Oryctolagus cuniculus: one gene and its partners. The protein of the gene in region 1 interacts with the protein of each later gene in a pairwise test. Links are inferred from orthologs where the notes say so. Each region holds a gene or a part of one and is shown on either strand. Other genes may lie near its edges.

Evidence for each region.
Region 2: the proteins of CNKSR1 (region 1) and PIN1 interact in binary tests that used the Homo sapiens proteins (3 or more experiments, as listed by UniProt). The two-hybrid records come from large-scale screens. The link is inferred for Oryctolagus cuniculus from reciprocal best matches to the Homo sapiens genes CNKSR1 and PIN1.
Region 3: the proteins of CNKSR1 (region 1) and CYTH3 interact in binary tests that used the Homo sapiens proteins (3 or more experiments, as listed by UniProt). The two-hybrid records come from large-scale screens. The link is inferred for Oryctolagus cuniculus from reciprocal best matches to the Homo sapiens genes CNKSR1 and CYTH3.

What each region holds. Positions count from the first base shown.
Region 1 is NC_091438.1:145,272,053-145,277,516, forward strand, and holds the end of CNKSR1 (connector enhancer of kinase suppressor of ras 1), read right to left. Parts: intron 5,197-5,464; coding exon 5,137-5,196; intron 5,057-5,136; coding exon 4,988-5,056; exon of another isoform or gene 4,896-4,987; coding exon of another isoform or gene 4,854-4,895; intron 4,734-4,853; coding exon 4,632-4,733; intron 4,554-4,631; coding exon 4,483-4,553; intron 4,310-4,482; coding exon 4,236-4,309; intron 4,086-4,235; coding exon 3,979-4,085; intron 3,901-3,978; coding exon 3,870-3,900; intron 3,552-3,869; coding exon 3,379-3,551; intron 2,598-3,378; coding exon 2,524-2,597; intron 2,398-2,523; coding exon 2,326-2,397; intron 2,071-2,325; coding exon 1,997-2,070; intron 1,893-1,996; coding exon 1,831-1,892; intron 1,718-1,830; coding exon 1,618-1,717; intron 1,539-1,617; coding exon 1,357-1,538; intron 1,111-1,356; coding exon 901-1,110; 3' UTR 559-900; downstream 1-558. UniProt on the Homo sapiens protein: May function as an adapter protein or regulator of Ras signaling pathways.
Region 2 is NC_091447.1:67,376,741-67,382,612, forward strand, and holds the start of PIN1 (peptidyl-prolyl cis-trans isomerase NIMA-interacting 1), read right to left. Parts: upstream 3,780-5,872; 5' UTR 3,683-3,779; coding exon 3,625-3,682; intron 2,535-3,624; coding exon 2,319-2,534; intron 1-2,318. UniProt on the Homo sapiens protein: Peptidyl-prolyl cis/trans isomerase (PPIase) that binds to and isomerizes specific phosphorylated Ser/Thr-Pro (pSer/Thr-Pro) motifs.
Region 3 is NC_091450.1:40,266,754-40,272,525, reverse strand, and holds part of CYTH3 (cytohesin-3), read right to left. Parts: coding exon 5,708-5,772; intron 3,983-5,707; coding exon 3,918-3,982; intron 3,575-3,917; coding exon 3,508-3,574; intron 1-3,507. UniProt on the Homo sapiens protein: Promotes guanine-nucleotide exchange on ARF1 and ARF6. Promotes the activation of ARF factors through replacement of GDP with GTP. Plays a role in the epithelial polarization.

The DNA of each region.
Region 1 (5,464 bases):
ACAGCAGCCTCTGTGACCTCCCGCATTCTACCAAGGAATTCCAGAGCTGCCCCACCTACCCTGCAGAGGCAGCTCAGGCTGCCTTGGGCTACTGGGCTGGGATCAGAGGTCACAGGCCCACGGCACAGGGATGGAGGATAGGGACGCGTCCTGCACTGGAGCCGGGAGCCGGAGGTGAGGCTGCACCGTGGCCGTGGGTTTTGCCCGACGGCCTTCTCCAGGGCTGAGCTCAATCCCGAGCAGCCCTCCCTCCCACCCCAGCTTCCGTGCAAGGTTGGCTTCTTCATCTACAAGGTGGAAATTTCTAAGTTTCCATGTGTGGGCAGCACCTTGGCCCTGGAAGGTCCGGAGAGGGAAGGTCATGAGGGGCCCAGCTGAGCTGTGGGTCAGAATCCACTCCTCACTCCCGGCAGGCTCGGGGCTTCAGGTGCTCGCCAGGGCCGTGAAGGGGCTGTCACCGGTCCTGCGGCCCAGAGTCCCCACCTGAGGGCTTCCACCGCGGCCCCCTCTTGCGGCCCAGAGTTCCAGTGCTAAACCGGAAATGAAGGCACATGTGTGTTCACCTTGGAGGAAGTGGCTTTATTTGGCTGAAATGTGTCTCTCGTGAAATCAAGGTCACCTGAACAGGCCCGGCTTGGGGAAGGGAGAGCAGCCCTGGGTGGGGTGGGAGTCCTTTCTTTGGTGGGGAGGATAGGGCGGCATGAGGCTCACTTCACTGTACCCCACTCCAGGAGCAACGGGCAGATGGCGGGAACTCCACCTGGGGCGGGGGGCCGTGGACGGCACCGCCCCAGCCTCGAATGGAACCCAGAGATGTGCTGTTCCAGATGGTCAAGGATGGGGTTGAGGTGTTCATCAGGGGCAGGAGCTAGACAGTGGCCCCCGTCAGAAGTCGGGAGGTCAGAGGGTGCCGTCTGGGGTCAAGGGGCAGAGATGAGAGTGCTCCTGAGGGTCAGAGGGCAGGGGGACAGAGGCCGGAGTCACCCCCCAGGCCCCCAGGCCCTCTGAGTACAGCTCCTGGTTCTGCTCCTTCCACCGGCGGAACTTCTCTCCGGTCAGTTCGGGGTCGCCCAGCACTTCCTCCAGGGCCTGCAGCTCCTGCAGCTTTGCCTGTGATGGGAACAGGAGGTTATGGGGCCGTGATCAGCCAGGGGGAGAGCGGAGCCTGAGTGCAGACCTGACGCTGGAGTGTGGTGTGTGGCACAGGGAACCTGGGTGGGACTTCCGACCCCAGCTCAGCACCTAGAACGTGGCCCGGCCCGCAGCCGAGCCCAGATGGCAGCACGGAGCCCAGGGCCGAGCCCTTGTCAGAAAGCCAGAGTCCAGAGCCTTGTCCCTGCCGCGCGGCCCCCTGACCTTGAGTGTGCTCTGGAGCGCTCGCACGCGGTGCACTCGCTCATTGAGCTGGGGGTCCCGGTTGCGCCGCATGAAAGAGCTTCGCCACTGCTCGTGGGTCAGGGGCTGTGGTTGGCCCAGGAGGGACACGCCGACCTGCCTCAGCCCCCGTACCATTCCTTCCAGCGCCCCATCACTGCTGTCTGTGGGAGGGGAGAGCGGGATGAGCAAGTGCCTGCCCCGCCCCTCAGTCCCATCCCAGCTCCCAGCTCAGCCGGCTACCTGCTGGGGGTCCGAAGGAGCTCCGTGGGCTGCGCTGTGTGGGCGTGGTTGCCGGTGACGTGTCTCTGTGCAGCGGACTCCAAGATTGTGCAGGGCTGGGCTGTGGGCAGGGTGGAAGCGGTGGAGGGCGTGAGTCTAGCTTCAGGCCCTGCTATTCCCACCCTCCCCCCCCCCCCCCCCCGCCACCTCTGCCCCCCTGTCGTCCGCACTCACCGAGGCTGAGCGGGACCCAGCCTCGTCGTCAGGGTCCTCGGCTTCTGTCTCACTGTAGCAGTCTGCAGGGGAGGGACGGGTCGGGACTCACAGGGTTTGCCAGGCCCCATCTCAGGACAGGCAGAGGCTCAGGTGAAACCCAGGTTTCTCCCCTGGAACCACCCACCTTCCTCTCTGGCTGGTGAGGGTCGGCCTGGAGACTGGTACTTGGAAATGCAGGTGATGAGATGGCGTACCCACCTGTGGGGGAGTGCTGGGCCTCAGAGAATTTCTATTCACTGAGGCCCTACTGTGTGCCAGGGCTTTGCCTAGCACTCCCCCCCCCCCCCGCCACTACCACATTGTCCAATTCAATCCTCAGAGCAACCATGAGAGGAAGGAACTCTTAGCAGCCCATTTTATAGATGAAGAAACTGAGGCTTAGAGAACCAAGTATCTTCACCAGTACTCAGAGGCTGGGAGCACATGGGACTGGAGGGGGAGGCTGGCACTCACATGCTCAGATCCGACAGGGTGTCAGCAGCGAAGACGAAGGGTTTGTACACGTCGTGGGTGAGCTGGAACACACTGCCAGGGAGGGGCCCTCTCAGCCTCCTCCCGGGGCCCCAGCCGCCTCCCATCCTCCCTACCCGGCACCAGCACCTGTCTGCTGTCCCTCCCTGTCCCCCAGCCCATCACAGCCCAGGACTTAACTATTTCTTCTTCTGATCATGTCCACTTTCCAGACTATAGTTGGAGACATTGATGAGGCCCTCGGCCTTCTCATCCTGTGGGCACAAGATGAGGGTCAGCCCGGGGCCCTGATACCCTCAGGGCCCAGGCAGGTAGGACCTGCAGGGGCATCTGCTGGCCTCTCCAACCACAAGCCCCTAGTCCTGGGGCTCAGGGAGGGAGGCATGGTCACAGGGTGTGTCCAAGCCAGGAAGGCAGAGCCAAGGCCGTCCAGGGCAGCAGCTGTGAGAGCGGAGTCTGCTCCTCTGCCTGGTCCCCAGGAGATGCCCACGGGGCTGCTCCTGCCCCGAGCTTCCTGAGTGCTGGGTTCTTGCCCCTTTTCATCTGAAACCCCCAGAACTGCTCTCCCAGGAAGCTTCCAGGGCACGCCCCTCCTGGCTTTCCTTCATCGGACACGCACCCCCGTATGGTCCATGAGTGTGTGTTTACCACGGCCCACCAGACTCTTCCGTTCTGGAGGGGCAGGAACTGCCCGATTCTCCCCATGACTGGCCCAGAGCTGGATACACAGCAAGCACCTGACTGTCTGTTCAGTGAATAAATGAGCAAACGAATGGCCCATCACTCGGATGGGCGGAACGTCAGAAGGGGCGTAGAGATGGGCAGAATAAAAGTGACTTTCTCTGTACTTCCTGGGATGCCTTTTCCTAAACTGCTTCTACAACCTGTGTTAGCTCCTTTCTCTCCATTATGCCCATTTTACAGATGGGCACACCGGGGCCTGTGGATGGGAGTGGATGGTAGAATACACATAAGAATCAAGGCCCTGAGGTGAGCCACTTGCTTACCTGTGTGGTGGTGGTGGGGGTGTCTCACCTGGGGCTGGCAGTACCAGTAGAGCGTGTGTCCCTTGAGCACAAACCAGCAGCGGCGCCAGCGTGGGCCCATGAAGCCACTGGGTGTCTTGCGCAGCAGGAGCCACCCGTCACAGTCGGGCCGGCCCAGCTCCCGGCAGGACACCCGCCGGCGGCTCAGCCTTGTCGCCACGCCTGCAGTAGCACGGCACGGCATGGCTGGTGAGGGGCTGGCAAGGCCCTCTGGCCCCCCAGACCTGTTCCTTTGCCCTCCCAGAAGCAGCCCCAACGGAGAGGCCTGAGCCTACACCCGGTCATCTCAAGAGGGGGTGACTTCCCATTTCAAAGGCAAGGACACAGATCAGAGGATAAGCTGTGGGCTGGGGGCCCAGGTCTGTCTGACTCCAGACCCAGAACTGTGCCTGTTTCCAGGGAGACTGTGGGAAGGGTGGGGGTCTTGCCCAGCACTGTAAGCATCACTAAGGGGTCCCACCGTGTTGGGGGCATTCATACCTTTTGATTTCTTCCCACCAAGGCCAGGACTCTGAAAGGACAATGCAGGGGTTAGAGGAGGATGCGGGTCCAGAGCCCGCACCCCTCCCCGCTGAGCTCCTGAGCTCACCTTGTCAGGGTATCCTGGGGGGCCTGGGGTCTCTGCTACCTCTGCCGGGACTGTGGCTGGGGGCTCAGAGGGGATAGGCAGCGGCTCAGGGTCAAGGGAGGTAGAATCTGTCAAGGAGGGAGGAGAGAGGGAGAAGGTTCGTGAGCCCAGTCCCAGGCCTGGGGATTCAGGAGGTGATGTCAACAATGAGGGGTCACAGCGAGGAACCCAGATGCCTTGGCTCCAGGTATCCCCCACCTAAAGGGCTTTGAAACTACCTGTCGAGGTAGGGGTAGGCCCAGGACTTGGGTTTGAAGTCAGGTCAAAGGCAAAGGCATCTCTGGGTGAGGCCCTGGGGAGAGTGAGGGGAGATGAGGCAGGCCGCGCCCCCACCAAGGCGTGCCCAGGGCAGGAGAGCGAGGGGAGATGAGGCAGGCCGCGCCCCCACCAAGGCGTGCCCAGGGCAGGAGAGCAAGGGGAGATGAGGCAGGCCGCGTCCCCGCGTGCTCGGGGCAGACCGGGCACCTGGGAGACAGCGGGGCCAGAGTCGGTGACTGGCTTCCCAGGCGCGGCGAGTCCAGAGCCTGAGGGGGTGTCTGGAGGAACAAGGAGAAGCAGGTGACGGAGCTGATGACAGGCCCTGAAAGCAGGTGGAGCGCGGGGGAGGCAGGTACCTTCGGGGGCGTCTCTGGCACCGGGATCTTCTTCAGCACCAAGCTGACCCCCGCTGGCTGCCGCAGCAGCTCCCTCAGCACGTTCTTATGGGACCAGGCCACCTGGGGGACGGGGTGGGGCCGGGGCAGAGACGCTGGGCAGGAGGCTCGGAAGCACCTCCACCCCTGCCCTCACACCGAGCCTCCTGCTTCTGCCCCAGGGAGCCCCATCAGCCCCTGCACCTTGGCTCTGCAGCAGCCCTCCGACCTCCTGGGCTGGCTCATCACACCCTGCTGTCCCCGGGGGGCAGAGCCTCGGCTGCCTCTCTCCCCGTCCTGCCCCGCGTGCCCACCACGCCGTCAGCGTCCTCACTCACCACCACCTGCTCGTTGATCTGGATGATCTCGTCTCCAGGCAGGATCTGCTGCCGGGAGTCGGTGGGGACCTGGGTGGGGAAGGGGCCCAGAGGGTGAGCTCCCCTGGAGGCCGCCAGGTGAGAGGGCCTCGGGTGGGCGGGCCTCTCACCTGGGTGCCCACTCTGGACACGAAGTGCAGGCAGTTGCTGGTGGTGTGGATTTCCAGGTCCTGCAAGGGCAGGGGTGACAGTCACTGAGGGCTTGGGGCAGCACAGCCAGGGGTCCTGGGGCTCAAAGATGGGCAACCTGGGGGCAGAGTGGGCACCGCCCCCAACTCGCTGTGTGCCTTTGGGCTTGCTGCTCCTCTCTGGGCCTCTGCCGCCTCCCCGGATAAGGGCCAGAGGGAAGCTGTGGTGACCGAGTTCCCAGATTCTCAGCGACTTAAACCAGGGGACAGAAAGTTCGTGTCCTCTCCCCTCTCTCCTAAGCTGCGCCGG
Region 2 (5,872 bases), on another chromosome or scaffold:
TCTGTCTCTCAAAACAGAAAAATGAAAAGGTTACATGAGGGCACAAGGGCGGGATTAGTGCCCTTCCAAGAAGAGACATCTGGGTCTCTCGGGTATGCAAGACAGACGAGGACACCTAATCTAGACGCTGTCTACAAGCCCGAATGAGAGACCTCACCACGTACCAACCTGGCCAGAATCTTGATCTTGAACTTCCAGTAACTTTGAGGAAATAAATTTCTGTTGTTTAAACCACCCAGTCTGTGTTTTTTTTTTTTTTTTTTAATTTTTTGACAGGCAGAGTGGACAGTGAGAGAGAGAGACAGAGAGAAAGGTCTTCCTTTGCCGTTGGTTCACCCTCCAATGGCCGCCGCGGCCGGCGCACCGCGCTGATCCAATGGCAGGAGCCAGGAGCCAGGTGCTTTTCCTGGTCTCCCATGGGGTGCAGGGCTCAAGCACCTGGGCCATCCTCCACTGCACTCCCTGGCCACAGCAGAGGGCTGGCCTGGAAGAGGGGCAACCGGGACAGAATCCGGCGCCCCGACCGGGACTAGAACCCGGTGTGCCGGCGCCGCTAGGCGGAGGATTAGCCTAGTGAGCAGCGGCGCCGGCCTCAGTCTGTGGTATTTTATTATGGAGCCCAAGCTAACAGATCACTGTAACCATCCAAGGGAACATGAGTGAACAGACAGAGGGGTGCCTAATCCCAAAAAGGTTTAGGGACAAACTCCCTGCCCTGCCCTACAACTCAATAAGCTGCTTCTAGTCCAATGGCACCCAGGCACCAAAGGGGAAGGGGCCTGGGCAGGGAAAGAAGTCAGGATTATGTCCCCAGAAGACCTAAGATCCAGCAAGGGGCCCAGAGGCCCAGCCTAGGACCACTGGCCCTCCCTGGGTGGGGGATCCTCAGGTCGGGGCCTCCCTGGGACCCTGGGCACACAGGCATGGAGGGACGGGAAACAGGCAGGGATGGCTCCCCCTGGCTGGCCGCTTCAGGCAAGGACACCAACAGTGACACTGGGCGGGCCTCGGATTCCTGACAGCCCCTGGCGGCAGCCCAGCAGCTGCAGAGGAGCTGATGCTGGGAAGAGGAGCCTCTGCAGAGAGGTGGAGGCGCTGATTCTCGCTGCAGACGCGTCTCCCGGGGCAGCACCGGGTCCCAGTGGGCACTGAGGAGACTCGTGTGGGCCCAGGCTGCCAGCTGGGGAGGGCGCTGGCCAAACCATCGACTCCTGATCCTCTGGAACACAGCCAGACCGGGGGAGCAGTCACCTGCACACACAGGACAAGGCCCAGGCACCCAAGGCTTGTGGAAAACACACAGGATGTCTGGTTACTGAGTGCGCCACAGCCAAGGCCGGCTCACCACGGCCTCCTAGCAACCTCTGAGGGTCCTGCACCAGTCCCACCTCGAGCAGGACGACACTGAAGTCAGAGAAGGTCGCAGTCCAAGGTCACCAGAGGGTCTATGCTGAGCCCACCAGACCGCCCGTGTCCAGGCCCAGAGATCTTTCCAGAGAAGCAGCCCATGAGCCCAGGCCTTCCCTCGACCTCAGCTCCCCCATGCATATGCCTCAAGGACTGGGGTCAAGCCCCAGACACCGAGCCCACGGCTCCCGGCTCTTCATGGGGACACGCGCCCAGCCTACAGAGGCAGCCACCGAGGCTCAGAGAACACAGCTGCTCCAGGACACACAGCTGGCACAAGACCCCAGTCCTGAGGAGCCCAGGGTGTGGTGGGCCTCCCAAGCAGAGCCTCGCCCACTTCACACACCCCTGCATCCTCCCAAGTCTGTCTCCTGAATCTCTCTAGAATCCGCCTCCCCCTCATTTCCACCCTCGGCCCACCCCAGGCTCGAGCCACACTGCCTCTGCCTGCAATCTCTCCCACAGCCTCCACAGGCCCCCCCCCCCCCCCCCCGCGCTGGCAGCCTGCTGACATCCCCAAATCTCCACCTACGGAAGAGCGGGCCCGGGCCCACCTGCTCATGGTCTATCCCTTCCTAAGACCCAAGCTGGTGAGTGCAGCCCCACCGCAGCACCGACCCAGAGCTGGGAAGGCCGCTCAGCCTCCTGCCACCTTACCCGGATCACCCCACATGTCCTTTTGGCCTCCCTGCTCTGCTGAACCCAGACCTGCGTCCGGCTGCCTCCCCAAGTTCCGCCCCCAGCCCCCAGGATTTAAAGGGCCCCGCCCAGGATGAGCCTCTTCCCAAGTTCCCTCTGGCAGGAACTCCTGCAGCTCTACCTCCAAACGCCCTCTTCCTCCTGGAGTCGGCGAGCCTCAGAGCAGGGAGAGCAGAAGTGGAGAGGATCCCGGCCCGAGAGCCCCTGCTCACCGTTGATCAGCTCCAGGGCCTCCTCCTTGGTCCGGGTGATCTTCTCCTGCCGCCAGGACGAGGGCCGCCGGGACTGGCTGTGTTTGACGAGCAGGTGCGAGCAGCGGACACGCGCCGGCTCCCCCTGCCCGATTTTGCCTCCACCGCTGCTGCTGTTGCCGCTGGGGCGCTCCCACTGGCTGGCGTTCGTGATGTGGTTGAAGTAGTACACCCGGCCTGCGGGGAGGGCAGCAAACCCATCGCGTGTCCACCCTGCGCCACGGGCGGACACGGCAGCGCACAGCCCCTGTACTGAGGGGGCTCACATGCTCAGTGGGGGAAGACAGGCTCCAAACCAGCAAAGACGACAACAAGAGAACCCCAATGACTGCTAACTTCAGGGAAGAAAAAATAACACAGGGGATCGGGGGGTTCCAGCAACAAATCCAGCTGAGCCACCCACTGAGGCTAAGATGCTGTCTGTGGGCCTTATCTCCCCGAGCCTCAGTTTTACTCATCTGCAAAATGGGGGTGAGCGAATCAACACCATCAAACCTCCCCTGGGTCGACACACAAGGACTATTACTTCGACTGTGGCCACTGCGGGCTCCAGGGGCGGCAGAGGGACCCTAGACCTACTCAGAGAAGCCGGGCCAGCTCCTCGGGCGCTCGCGGTGACACAGGAAAAGCGCCAGGGGCCCTGGAGCAGGCAGACTGGGTTCCAAGCCGGCTCCAACCCCCCTGAAATGCACGATCTTGGAAGACATCCTTCCACTTCCTGGCCTCAGCGTCCCCACTTGTAAAATGGGCGCACCAACGACCCATCTCCCAGACGTGCGGCAATTCTCAGAGAACTAAAAACACGATGCGGGGTGCACACCTAACGGGGCCAAGCTTTCGATTGGGCTCCAAGCAGACTCAGGAAGAGGTGTGGCCGGCAGGTGTGTGTGCCACGCCTCTCTGCTCGGTGAGGGGTATCCCCCTCCCCAGGGAGTGCCCCGGGCCCAGCTCCCCGCAGAGCGACAGGTGCAGCAGGCCCGTGCTGGCTGCAGACAGCCGGGCTGGCAGACTCAGTGCCGCCGCCTCAGGGAGCGCCGCGGCCTCCCCGGCCCCTCCCCCGCCCCGCCCCCTGCCTCAGTTTCCTCCCGGCTCCTGAGCCTTGCAGCCCTCCACGGGGGCGGGCCGGCGCCGTTACTCCGAGGGCGACGCGGAGGAGCCCAGACCTCACGGGACGGAAGCGGGGGGCTCCTCCGCGCTCGAGGGCAGAGCTCGCGCCCTGCTTCCGTGGGCCCGCGCGGCCCTGCCCCGGCCCCGATCCCCGCGGCACCTGAGCTGCGGCTCATGCGCTTCTCCCAGCCGGGCGGCAGCTTCTCCTCGTCCGCCATCTTCCCTCCTGCCGCAGCGCCCGCTCCGCCTCCGCCGCGCCGCCTGTCACCCGCGCCCGCCCACCGACGCTGCCCATTGGCTCGGCGTTCTCCGCACCGGGGCCTGGCAGCGACGCTCATTGGACATTCCAACCGTCAGGATGAGCTCTCCGTCTTGCTACTGGGCAGAAGCGAGAGTGGGCGGATCCCCCCACGTTACACTGGTACCCGGCCCCTAGTCGGGCTCACTCAGGCCCCGCCCCTCTCCTCTCCTTGGCTCCTAAGTGGTGGATTAGAGACTCGAGACCGCCCTTCTCAACGCCCTTTGGCGAGAGCGAAAAAAGTCCCAACCCCCTTCTTGGCGCTCTTGGCGGGCGGAACCCGACCCGACAGGATAGAGCTTATTGATTGGCTGCCGGGGCAGCAGTTCCCGCCTGCCCGAGCCGTTCCCGGAAGGCCGCACGACCCTCATGCGGAAGCGTCTGGCCGCTGTGCAGGTTACTTGTGGGAGGAGGAGGCGGTGGTACCCGTGCTGTTGCCATAACAACGCAGTTGCCTTGGTGACGAGCAGCTCAGTGCCCGAAGCCTAAGTTTGGCTTCTCCAGCCTCCCTCTTCCCACCTGCTTCTTCCAGATGTCCAAAGCCAACCCGGCCTCGCTGGGCTAAACCATTTTCCCCCCGCGGGCCCTTTGGAATCTACTTATTTCCTCTCACTCTGGCTGCTTCCTCCTCCCTGGCGAGGAGAGCGCGAGAGGAGGCGCAGGTGGGAGAAGCATGAGCTGCTGCGGGGGTGGCCGGGAGTGCCAAGGGCTGCAGGTGAACAAGGGAGCGCTTTATCGGTGTGCCAGTTCCAGACCTAGCTCCTCCACTTCTGATCTGGCTTCCAGCTAATGCACCTGGGAAGACAGCGGATTATAGTCCCTGCACCCACATGGGTGCCCCTTAACAACATCGAGGCTCAGAGACGTGGCTCAGGGAAAACACAGAGGCAGGACGAGGTAGGAGGCCAAGGGCGCTGCGGAGCCACCTTGCTTGGGGGTGAGGGGGTGCGAGCAAGTTACTGAACCCCCGTGCTTCAAGTCCTCCGATTGCAAAGTCGGAGGAAGCAATACTACCACTTCTTCTGTCTGATGCGATGGTTAAGGAGTGGTCCCTATAAAGCACTCAAAACACTTCCTAGCCTACAGCTAAGATATGTTAAGTATTATAGGCTTATATCACAGCAAATTTATAGATTCATTAAAATGTTGACTACCAGTGGTGATACAAGTCAAATGACAAAAAATGAAGAACTTTTTAATGTTCTCATTTTTAAGCACATCTTAGCATAATAATTGTAAAAGATAATTGGAGTTGCAAAAATAGATTTCACCCAGCTGGCAAATGGGATAGCATTTGACACAGCAGAACGGAAGTTTTCACTTAGGAGCAGTTTTGTTCTCCAGGGGACATCTGGTGATGTCTTGACAGTTATGGCTGTCACAAAGGGAGGAAGGGACAATTTAGTGGGTAGAGGCTGTGGAGACTGCTGCACATCCTGCAAGGCATGGGCCAGCTCCCCACAGCTCAGAATTCCCCAACCCCAAATGTCAGCATTGCCACAGCAGAGAAACCCTGCCATGGAATAATCCTCAAAGCTAGGAAATCAACAGCGGTGTGAACCTCTTCACTACACACTGGTTCCATCTTCCCACTGTTCTGTAATGCTTCAGGATGGGCTTGTCTCACGCCAGCTCGCGGTGGGACTGAGGGTGTGTGTGGACCCTGGACTCCTCGCTCTGCATCACACCAGGTGGCTGATGATGTTCAAAATGCATTGCCGATTGCATTTAAGCTGTCTACTGCTGCAGAGAAAAACTGCCCTTCATGTAGGGAGTAACACCTATTTCAGTGTGTGTGGGTCAGGAATCTAGCTAGGCACAATGTAGCTCACGTCAGCAGGGTGGCTGTGGCCTCCTCTGATGGCTGGACTGGGGTAAGATCTACCTCCAAGCCAGTTCCTGTGGCTGCTGGCAGGAGTCAGCTGCTAATGGCATGCTGACTAAGTTCAAGAAATTTTTAAATCCATGGTTTTTTCATAGTATACATTTTCCATAAACCTTTTGAAGACCCCACATAGGTATGGACTTCAAAAAATTTTGCACCAACATAAACTTACCTTTTAATTCTATTTTCCATGGACCCCTCTTTTTTTTTTTTTTTTTTTTTTTT
Region 3 (5,772 bases), on another chromosome or scaffold:
AGGTCTTCCATTTGCTGATCACTCCCCAGATGGCCACATGGCCAGAGCTCGGCCGATCTGAAGCCAGGAGCTTCTTCCAAGTTTCCCATGCCGGGGCAGGGGCCCAAGGACTAGGGCCATCTTCTACTGCTTTCCCAGGCCACAGCAGAGAGCTGGATCGGAAGCGGAGCAGCCGGAACTTGAACTGATGTCCATATGGGATGTGGGCACTGCAGGCGGCGGCTTTACCCGCTACGCCACAGCACCAGCCCCGAGATGCTGCCTTGTATTGTGATAATTCTACTGTGTAAACTCAGCTCCAAAGAAAAAAGCAATGGTCACCAACCTCAAATATGGAACCAGCATTGTATGAGTGAGCGTCTCTTTCCTGTAACAAATCCCGATACAAGCTAACGATGGAGAGAAAAGGTTTACTTTGGGCTTGCGGTTCTGGAGCTCCCAGGTCCGGATCCAGTGGCCCCCGCGGGTCTGGTGTCTTGACAGGGCAGCAGAGGGTGGAAAGGGAGCAGCAGAGGACCCCAGGGAGAGCAGGCAGCAGACAGAAAGCAGCTGGGCCGGAGCTGTCTTCCAAGGGCCTTGCCAGTGACCTGGGACCTCCCTGAGGCTCACCCCCTCCCCTAACTCTGTAATTGGATCAAGTCTCCAAGAGCCAGCCTGGGCGGAGCCTGTACCACGTGGGGCTCTGGAGAACACCACGGCTGGGATCTAAATGACAGCCATGATCCAATGCACAGCGCTGTTCTCAGTCATGTTCCTTCCATTCTGGACTGGACGTACGCCACAGAGGAAGAGGACTGGGGTGTGACTGGAAAATGTCCACAGCGGCCGAGCACGCTGGTTAAACTAAAGCCCTCCTCCAGCTGCACCGGCGCTGTGCCCCAAGGAAATCCAGTTTTGCAAACAGGAAATAATAAACATCTCTTCAAAAGTCAGCTGCAACTGCACGGTACTGAGAAATGTATTTCTGCAGACCCAAGACCTGACACAGTGTAATTCCTACAATCAACAAACATTTACTCAATGAGCAAATAATTAACTAATTAATTAGCATAGAGGCTCAGCATCAGAAAAACAAGGACAAAGTTAGCAGTGAACACCAGAGCCAGCACTGTGGAAGAGCAGGTAAAGCTGCTGCCTGCGGCGCCGGCATCCCATATGGGCAGCGGTTCAAATTCTGGCTGCTCCACTTCCGATCCAGCTCTCTGCTGTGGCCTGGGAAAGCAGTGGAAGATGGCCCAAGTCCTCGGGCCCTGCACCCACGTGGGAGACCTGGAAGAAGCTCCTGGCTTCAGACCAGCCCAGCTCCAGCCGTTGAGGCCATTTGGGAAGTGAACCAATGGATGGAAGACGTCTCTCTCTCTGCCTCTGCCTCTCTAACTCTGCCTGTCAAATAAATAAATCTTTACCACAGGCAGCAGGGACTGAGCCGCGCCGTGCGGCGTCTCCCATGAAGACATGCCTTCCTCCCCTCAGCCACCAGCCTGTGGCAGACTCAGGCCCTCTCTCCTTTCTCAAAACCAAAATGAGGCTGGCGCCGTGGCTCACTAGGCTAATCCTCTGCCTTGCGGCGCTGGCACACCGGGTTCTAGTCCCGGTCAGGGAGCCGGATTCTTTCCCAGTTGCCCCCCTTCCAGGCCAGCTCTCTGCTGTGGCCAGGGAGTGCAGTGGAGGATGGCCCAGGTGCTTGGGCCCTGCACCCCATGGGAGACCAGGATAAGTACCTGGATCCTGCCATCGGATCAGTGCGATGTGCCAGCCGCAGTGCACCAGCCACGGCGGCCATTGGAGAGTGAACCAACGGCAAAAGGAAGACCTTTCTCTCTGTCTCTCTCTCTCACTGTCCACTCTGCCTGTCAAAAAAATAAAAAATAAAAAAAAAAAAACAAAATGGGCGTGGGTGCTGTGGCACAGGGGGTAAAGCTGCCACCTGCTATGCTGGCATCCCACATGGGCGCTGGTTCGAATCCTGGCTGCCCCACTTCCGATCCAGCTCCCGGTTGATGTGCCTGGGAAGGCAGTGAAAGTCAGCCCAGTGCTTGGGCCCTGCCACTCACGCGGGAGACCCCAGACGGAGTTCCGGGTTCCTGGCTTCAGCCCAGCCCAGCCCAGCTTGTTGCAGCCTCTTGGGGAGTGAACCAGAGGATGGAAGATCTCTCCCTCGCCCCCACCTCTAACTCTGTCTTCCACATCAGTCAATCAATCTTAAAAACGGGGAAAAAACAAACCACCCACATTACAACTGAGTCGCGGCCTCCCTCTGTGGACTTTGCCAAGTCCTTCCGTGCAGCCCCACACTGCAGGCTCTCTGTGTTCGGCGTCTTCCCGCAAACTCTAATGTGAGCCACGATCCGAGAGCGCTCAGTGTGGAGAGCCCTGCTCTTCCCACAGAAGCCCTTCCAGGGAGCAGGGGCAGCGAGGTGCTCCTCCTCCAGCTGTGCACCACTCCCCAGACGACAAGGCCCGTACACACGGCACACACGGGTCCCGCTCCCAGCTCTGCTCCCGGGCTGCAGGGCTCAGGGCGGGAGACCGAGGGGCAGCACCCCACGGAGCAAGGGCTCTGCAGGCTCCCCTGAAGCCTCTGCGAGCGGCACTGTCCTCACTCAGCTCCGCGGGGAGGGAGGCCTCCCTGGGGGCGGGCTGATGGGATGCAGGGGTGGGGGAGGCCTCCCTGGGGGCGGCTCATGGGATTGGGGGGGAGGCCTCCCTGGGGGCTGCTCATGGGATGGGGGAGGCCTCCCTGGGGGCAGCTCATGGGATGGGGGGTGGGGAGGCCTCCCTGGGGGCGGCTCATGGGATGGGGGGGCCTCCCTGGGGGCTGCTCATGGGATGGGGGGGGGAGGCCTCCCTGGGGGCGGCTCATGGGATGGGGGGGGCCTCCCTGGGGGCGGCTCATGGGATGGGGGGCGGGGAGGCCTCCCGGGGGCGGGCTCATGGGATGCAGGGGTGGGGGAAGGCCTCCCTGGGGGCGGCTCATGGGATGGGGGGGGCCTCCCTGGGGGCGGCTCATGGGATGGGGGGGCCTCCCTGGGGGCAGCTCATGGGATGGGGGGGCCTCCCTGGGGGCTGCTCATGGGATGGGGGGCGGGGAGGCCTCCCTGGGGGCGGGCTGATGGGATGCAGGGGTTGGGGAGGCCTCCCTGGGGGCAGGCTGATGGGATGCAGGGGTGGGGGAGGCCTCCCTGGGGGCTGCTCATGGGATGGGGGGGCCTCCCTGGGGGCTGCTCATGGGATGGGGGGCGGGGAGGCCTCCCTGGGGGCGGGCTGATGGGATGCAGGGGTTGGGGAGGCCTCCCTGGGGGCAGGCTGATGGGATGCAGGGGTGGGGGAGGCCTCCCTGGGGGCCAGCTCACAGGACGCTGGAGCTCGGAGCTCCGAGCTCCACCGCAGTCCTGAGCAGCCCCCTTCTCAATAAAGAGTTGCCATCAGCTCCCAGTCTGAGCACCTCTGTCCAAACCGCTATAAATTACTCGACCTGTGTGTGCCAGGGAACGAGGTTCCTCTCACCTTTTTGGGATCCATGTTGAACTTCTTTCTTCCCATAGCGATTTGCTTGTTCCTTTGAGTGGTTTTGCTGTGCGTTTGACATAATTAGAGACGGTCAGCAGTGTTTCCAGAGAACACGGACTTCGGTGGCGGCGCCCAGGGTGGCGTCATGGCCCTCGGCACGCCCACGCCGCCCCCTCCCTCCGGCGCGAGCCACCACCTGGAAGCAGACAACTGGGACCCACTTTCCCGGGAGAAGCTAACAGAGAAAGCCGTGGGTTTAAAAGCACGGCCCCTTTAGGCTGGTGGAAAGCTGCTCTGGGCAGGTCACCTCCCAGCGCCCGTGCTTCCTGCTGGGCTGGGAAGCGGCACCCGCTGCGCCTGGAGGTTGGGGAATGGGATGAGCGGGCGCAGGCGGCCCTGGGGTTTACCTCTCCTCCACAGACGTCAGGCTGTCGATCTCGGTCATCACCTCGGCGATTTCGTACTTCAGCCTCTGCAGGAAGAAGGGGGACGGCGGGGGTCAGGTGGGTCTGGTCCTAACCCTCCCTCCTCCTGGGCTCGGCTGTGGCCCTTCCAGGCTCAGCCTCCCCGTCTCCTGAGCATCCCAGGTCGGAAAGCCGGTGCCTTCAGCAGCAGAGCCTGAGTCCCACAGTTGGAGCCGCTGGCACTCAGGAGCAAACAGAACTACCCGTGGGCCTTTCCGTCAGGCTCCGGATCCGAGGGGCCCACGGGGCAGACTCACGAAGGCCCCGGGCAGTGTCCGGGGCAGCGTTAAGATGCCTACAGCCCACGCGGGAGTGCCTGGGTTCAGATTCCGCTTCCTGCTGATGTGCACCCTGGGAGACAGCCGGAGACGGCTCGAGTCCTTGGGTCCCTGCCACACATGTGAGAGACCTGCATGGAGCGCCTGGCTTCGGCCTGGCCAGCCCTGACTGCTCTGGGCATTTTGGGAATGAACCAGCAGAGGTTCATGTCTCTCTGTCACTCTGCCTTTCAAATACATTTAAACAATAGAGAAGGGGCATTGGCGAGAACATCACAGGTGTGGGAAGACAAGAGCAGCACCAGGGAAGCCATAAGAACTGTTCAACATGGCCCCCACACGGCCCCTCCTCTGCCTCCTCCCTCAGGGTCCCTTCCCCTCCTGGAGAGAGGGAGGGAGAAGCCAAGCTCCATCCCGGGCGGGGCGGGGCGGAGACTGGCCCAGCTCTCAGTCCAGGGTGACTGCTGTCCCTCCGTAAGGGACAGGCACCACCAACAGGGCCCAGGGGTGAGAACAGAGCTGACGGAGCCGGGACACTTGGGGGGACTGAAACACCAGAGGGGTACGATACCCTCTTCTCCCGAGCTGTGGCCCCACAGGCTGAGCGACTTTCCACAGCCCCGGACCTCTCAGAGCTGGATCCAGATTCCAGGTTAATCCACGCGTGCTCACGAACATCCAAATAACATGGGCTTCTGCAGCCAAAGGACCAGGACCCGGGCGTCGGCCCCCCGACTTCCCTAAGGAGGGACTGTCGTGAATTACCTGCCCAATGCAAAGACATGGGACCCGGAGCCCCTGACTGTGCCAAAAGACCGCACACCGACAAGGGAGTCACTGTCTGGGGCCGGGCCTGGCCTGTGGACCACGAGTATCTTGGCAGTGCCTACGACCTGGGAACCTTTCAGAGAAGAGCCACACGTCAGATGGCGTTTCCTACAGAGCGCAGAGGGAAGGGGCCAGGGCTCGCTTCAGTCACTGGTGCCTCCCGCACGGCCCCTCCGCCCTGCCCTCTGAGTGATGTGGAGGCGAGGAGGTTGTGTTTCCTGTTTATCATTCTACCCCCCGACCCCCCGGCTGGCATTAGTGCAAGGCTGGAACCCAGTAGACGCTCACCCACTCATTCAAAGGATATCTGAGCACCAAAACCCTAGCAGGCAATGGCCTAGGTGCTGGGGACATTGGTAAACCAAATGAGGTCTTACCACGCCATGCCAGGGAGCAACCTGTCGACGGACGTGGGTGCTGCTTCAAAGGCCGCCTGCGGCCCTGGAGCCACTCGCATGGACCCCAGGCCCGCCGTCTGCCTGCTGCCCGAGCCTGCACCCTGAGCTATGAGGACCTTTGTTTTCCCAGCCCCGTCTGCTCCTGGGGTTCTTACACACAACGCTAGTGTTGGGAGCTACTGGATTTATTATTTACCCAAACACAGAAACGAAGATTTTTTTTTTTTACCTCAATGTCATCAATAAGTTCCTTTTTTCTTCGACGAATGTCCAAAAGCTCTTCCCTTTCTTCTA